Kluyveromyces lactis: one gene and its partner. Each later gene encodes a partner of the first gene's protein in a complex. Links are inferred from orthologs where the notes say so. Each region holds a gene or a part of one and is shown on either strand. Other genes may lie near its edges.

What was found.
Region 2: RPA49 (region 1) and RPB8 share a complex: the UniProt entries of both Saccharomyces cerevisiae proteins name them as parts of the RNA polymerase I (Pol I) complex. The link is inferred for Kluyveromyces lactis from reciprocal best matches to the Saccharomyces cerevisiae genes RPA49 and RPB8.

The regions. Positions count from the first base shown.
Region 1 is NC_006039.1:266,288-269,683, forward strand, and holds RPA49 (DNA-directed RNA polymerase I subunit RPA49), read right to left. Parts: upstream 1,923-3,396; coding exon 684-1,922; downstream 1-683. Other genes in the region: MPA43 (Mpa43p), read right to left, coding at 1-468; JJJ3 (Jjj3p), read left to right, coding at 2,382-2,870; KLLA0_C03003g (uncharacterized protein), read right to left, coding at 3,028-3,396. UniProt on the Saccharomyces cerevisiae protein: DNA-dependent RNA polymerases catalyze the transcription of DNA into RNA using the four ribonucleoside triphosphates as substrates. Component of RNA polymerase I (Pol I) which synthesizes ribosomal RNA precursors.
Region 2 is NC_006040.1:610,573-613,226, reverse strand, and holds RPB8 (DNA-directed RNA polymerase core subunit RPB8), read left to right. Parts: upstream 1-1,687; coding exon 1,688-2,125; downstream 2,126-2,654. Other genes in the region: putative iron-binding protein ISU2, read left to right, coding at 337-879. UniProt on the Saccharomyces cerevisiae protein: DNA-dependent RNA polymerases catalyze the transcription. of DNA into RNA using the four ribonucleoside triphosphates as substrates.

The DNA of each region.
Region 1 (3,396 bases):
GTCTTTGTATAATTTGTTCAAGTGCAACAATTTCGGGATTGCCATTTCAGGGAAAAATTTCCCGCCGAAGTGGCATAAGATTGATTCGTCTGTAATATTGTTGAGATATTCCGTCTCCTCTATAGCTGCTGAATGCATCCAAAAAATGATATCGTGATATCTACCGTTCTTGTCATGAATCAAATTGAAGGGAATTAAGTTCTCATCTTTCTGTTTCCCAACCACCATCGAACAAGTTGCTCCTACACCCAATGAACAAATGTTGTACTCCTGGATATATAAAGTATTGAATGCTTTTTCTACAGCAGTTAAAATATCAGAGGTACATTGGGTAATGATCCCATTTCCATGCCTAAAATAAGGGACTTTTTCTTTCGTTTCCTTGACTAGGCTATCAGTATAATAATCAAAAATACCTATTCTAAACTCGGTAGATCCCAGATCGACACCTATCCCAACATCTTGCATATCCACAGGTTCTATATATGATGTTTAAGTTCTAATTTCTCGATTATACCATCACTTTCTGTATTCTTTTAGTTGATCATTATAAGATGAAGGTTGATAATACGAGATGAATAATTCTTTTTCTTTATATAGTAAAATAGATTTCTGAAGAAGTGTAGATCAATTGCAAAAAAGTATTATACAAACGCATGTTCTACTTAAATCATAGGGATAAGCTACCTTCTTGGCCCTTTACCTCTTCTAATCATTTCTGGTAGCTTGAATGGTACCTTCAAAGTTGCTATTTTATACGTTGAGGCAGAAGACTTTGGAATGCCAAAGGCTTCAGCTTGAGCTACAGTAGCACCCTTAACGGTAGCACCTAAGATTTTGAAGAGACTGACAAGCTTGGAAGGCTTTAAGTTTAGTTGTTGAGCTAAAGGTGGGACTTCAACAATGAAGTTATCCAAATGCATAATAATTACCAAAATATAACATAGCAATTTGTCCTCCCTCTGTGGATCGATAAAGAATGACTTATCTTTTGATCTACCAAATTGACCAGGTCTAGAGATGGTAAACCTTTCCAAAATGCCATTTAATAGGGCATCTGGAGGGTTGTTTATTCTTTCCAATAATTTTGTCTTGTTGTTAACTCTTCTGTTATCGTACACCCCAGCCAAAAGTGATAAATAATATAGTAATTGCAATTTTTGCATTTGTGCTGCTTGTGTTAGAGTTGGCAACTTGTTAGCCACATATTGAAATTTAGTGTATGGGAAATATTCTAGCCTCTTTTCTGGGTCTTGCTCTTTCATGATACTGCCAACGCGAATAAATGACCATTCCTTTTTGGGTATTATGTTGTATAAAGGATAAATTTGTTCCACATCTGTTGCGTCTAAATCAGCCAACGGAGTTGGTCTATCAGAAGATACAGTTTCTTGCAGTTCTTCCTTTGAAGGCAGTTCTTTCGAAGCAGTCTTCACTGTGTCTACAATATCTATCGCAGAATCAACCAATTTGTCTGAATCAATACGGTTTCTTTCCATATCAGCAATGGCCTTCTTTGCCTTCTTAGTACCGAACGCCTCACCTAAAGCGTTTCTCATCAATGCAGCACGGACGTTAGCCTGTTTAATGTCAGGTCCCATTAGGTTCTTTCTAGATTTGGAAAGAACCTTGCTGGATACCAGTGGTGCCTTGTACAATTCTACAGACTTCGTGGCGGCATCATAAACACCAACAACATACTGAGAAGAATTAACAAAATCATCGTCAGTCTGACCTTCATATTCTAGTCTATCGTTTTCACCATGTAACACGTATTTGTCGCTGTTCTTCTTGTTCTTATATAGCTCGAAGGTGGTATCTTTTGGTGCCTGGAAGCCCTTAAAGAAGCTACTTACAGCAACAGATGGTTCATCATGATAAGCTGAAACACCAACCTCAGTGAATGCACGTTTGGAACCCATCTCCACACTCTTAGTTACTACACAGTCAGCTTATTTCGGACCTTGGGATACCTTTCAATGATGTACTAATTTCCCAATATAGTTTGTGATCGATGCTTTACATCTCATCTCATCGCATATCCAAAAATTTTTCGATCAAGGAAAAAGAAACAAGAGTCATGTGACCGAACCATTGGATTATTGAGTTGGAAAGACGAAACTTCGACCGTTTGCCAGATTAATAAATGCCTTTTATAGTACCTCGTTACACCAAGCTTAGTCAGGACGCCTTACTTTTTCTGCTGCATGTTAAACCTGCTTTTTCATAGATTTCTGTGTTGTATTTCGTTCAATGCTCTGTTAGAGGCGATGAGGTTAGCTTTTGATATTTCATTGAAATGTTGACAGACATCAACAAAAAGCTATGTCAGCACTTATACCAAGTTGAGTGGTTCTGTAGCAGAACATCCAGTTATCATAATGCAACGATCCTTCTATGAAATTTTGGGCATTGAAAGCGATGCCAGTAATATCGAAATTAAAAGAGCTTATAGGGCCATGTTACTGGAAACACATCCTGATAAATCTGGATTGAATTATAATTCCAACGGAAACAATACATCTAGTCATTCTGTTACTGATATCCAGGAAGCTTACCAGACCCTCATTGATCAGGATTTGAGGAAAAAATATGATGAGGAACTTGCTGAATCGTTCAAGAAACTTGGCTTTCACAATGCAGGTGATGGTCTAGATCTTTTCTCTCTAGATCTGTTCGATTACAGCGGAGATGAACAATCTTTTTCGATGAATTGTCCCAGGTGTCAAATAACTGATGGGTTCCAATTAACCGAAGATGCTTTGGAAGAACATGCGATAGATTATGAGGGAGGTGGATATTTCGTATTGGTGCAATGTTCGGCTTGTTCACTATGGTTGAAAGTCTTATTTGACGTTATGGAAGAGTGATGTGACATATCAATTATGTTTTCACAATTAAAACCTGAAGAACTTCCTTATATTGTATCTATTGTGTCATGAAAAATTCACACTATTTACAGGTATGTTTCTTTACTTATGCATACTAAGAGCCACGTCAAAAAGCATACTGAATGTATCTAGATTTTTACGGTTCTTTCTCCGTATTTGTTTGCTCAGCGTCCAATATGGAAATGAAGGCTTTAGAGATAGCTTCAAAGTCTGTCATGAGGCTTACATGTGGCATTTCGCTAGCTATCTTTGCTACAATAGGAAAGCCGCATTTTTCTGGAAGTAACCACTTGTGATGTACAACACCGTCACCAGGTCCGTAATAAAAGTCTTGATACAGTCCTTTCTTTATCTCCTCCCGATTTTTAACCTTGGCACCTCTGACCGTCGGAACCCTATCACCATATACTATTGCTAGCGGCGGATATGTCTTTTCAGAATCGTGTTCTAGTTGATCTAAGAAACGCTTAGTCTTTGGAAGAATCCTTTTCAGATAGTTATAAGA
Region 2 (2,654 bases), on another chromosome or scaffold:
ATACGAAACCGCTGTTAACGCTTGTATCCTCTGCTGCTTTGTCTTTTCTCCCCGTATCTTCTTTGTTCCTTCTCATTGTTTTTTTCTTTTTACACTTTTTCCCAGTTTACCACGCTTATGGAATATTTTGTATTAGAAATTTAAACTTCGACGCCTGGAATTTTGGATTTTTAAGAGTTTTATTATATATATATAAGAGTCATTTATTGTGTATATAATATGCATCACTGTAATTTTATAGCAAGAGCGAAGATCTTCAATAATCCAGATATTGAATCAAGGTTTAGTAGTTCAGGATAACAGATCAACATTCAAAACACATACACATAATTAAAAATGTTTAGAGGACAAATGTTTGCAGTACAGAGGATGGGAAGTGCACTAATGCACGGCGGTGGAGGCGGAACTAGAATAATCGGTGTAGCAGCTGCTAGAGCAACTGCTCCTACCGTCGGCTCTAGTCCTTCCATGGCCTCTGCTAGATTTTACCATCCAAAGGTCATTGATCATTATACAAACCCAAGAAATGTTGGGTCTCTAGACAAGAATTTGCCAAATGTTGGAACGGGTCTTGTCGGTGCCCCAGCTTGTGGTGATGTGATGAAATTGCAAATCCAAGTTAACGACGAAACAGGAGTGATAGAAAACGTTAAGTTCAAGACGTTCGGGTGCGGGTCTGCCATCGCTTCTTCTTCATACATGACCGAATTGGTCCGTGGGAAAACCTTGGAAGATGCAGCAAAGATTAAAAATACAGAAATCGCCAGAGAATTGAGTTTACCTCCGGTTAAATTGCATTGTTCTATGTTGGCTGAAGATGCCATCAAGGCTGCCATCAAGGATTACCAGGCTAAGAGACCTACAACACAGTTGAAATAGAGTGTTAGAGTTAAGAGTTAAATTAATTAGTTAATCTCTAATTTTCTTATTGCTTCTCCGGCTCAAACTTTCATTTGTCCATTGAATGGACTTTAGCATACTCGTCTTTCCCTTAATTCTTTTGGTTTGACTTACGATTTTCCCTCGCATTTTAACTCCACTACAAAGTTAAATCGAACACTATATTTTTCCGAATATATCATACAGTTTCTGAAAGCTATCTAGGAGAGCTAAATTCCAAGATTAGGTACTTCCATTTATCGTGCCTTATCAACTGCCCATGATTCGTAATTTTTTTTTTTTTTTGGCTACCCTTTTTTTTACAACAGTTGTTATCTAGTGTATAACTAACATGTAGGTTCATTCATCATTTGTATTATAATCATCCAGACTGTTCCGACAAGCGTTTCAACTAGTTGCAGAGTTGAGCGGACCGTCTCTCTGTATCCTGGATTCTTCGGACTTCTAAGGGATGGCAAATTGATTAGCGTTACCCGAAGTTGTTTCTTTTACCCGGACACATATTTTTTTCATGGGCAAGAAAAATCTTGAAAAATTTCGTTGTAACTCATCGCCTGAAGGAACAACTGAGAGACAGACAATCATATACATGTGATGCGCTTTCGATTCGGCTCACTGTAGATAGTCTCATATCAGCAGTGAAATTATTAGTTTGAAACCTTTCATACCCACTACAGACTCTCCGATAAGTTCCCTTCTTTTTCGTCTCTCATTTGTGTTCCTACTGGCCCACCGACTTTAATAACTAGAACCAACACAACAGTACTCTCATTTACCAACACACGTCATGTCATCGGCACTATTTGATGACGTTTTCACCGTTCAAGAAGTGGACACAGGAAGATACAACAAGGTCTCTCGTATTGAAGCTCAATCGACTTCACAAGAATCCTGTAAGTTAACATTGGATATCAACAGTGAATTGTTCCCAATAAAGACTCAAGATCAACTTGCAGTCATGATCACAACTTCTCTCCAACTTGACGGATCGGAGGAACCTCAGGGTACCTCTTGGAGAGCACCACCTGCTGGAACCAGATCTCTTGCAGATGATTATGACTATGTCATGTACGGAACTGCCTACAAATTCGAAGAAGTTAAGGGTAACAAGGATTTGCTTGCAGTATACTATTCATTTGGTGGCTTGTTGATGAGACTTGAGGGAAATTATAGACTTTTGAACAACTTGAAACAAGAAAACGCTTACTTATTGTGTCGTAAGTAAGAAATCTTGTGGGTACTATATATCATAGTCAAAATAGAAAACCGACAACTGTATAATAGACTTTCAGGTCAAAGCTCTGGTTCTTCACTCCTCCGGAAGCTACGGCCTTTACTTACACCTCTCCTCATATATTAATGCATTTTTAACTTTCCATCTTAGCTTCCTATCTTCAAACTGTTCTTACTTCCAGTCACCACAGCATAACGAAGTTGCTCTTTCTTTTGCTCGAGGATTCTTCAATTCTGTGCTTCTTTGTATAAGAGGAGATACCATAGAAACTGTTAAAGCCGTCTTTTTTCTCGAAAATAGAAAAGTTAGGATCCAATGACCTCAATAAATAGGGTTCGGCCATTGCCAGTTGATGGCAAAATATTCGAGACGGGCGTTGAAGGAGCATATTAGCAGTAGATATATAAATATAGAAGAAGGTCTATTTTGTTAGGTTACCCATATACAGGGGTTATTAGTGTTCAATCCATATTTTTTTTGATTCTTTGGCGATAGGCAAGGGTGCATTATTCAGTCAAGT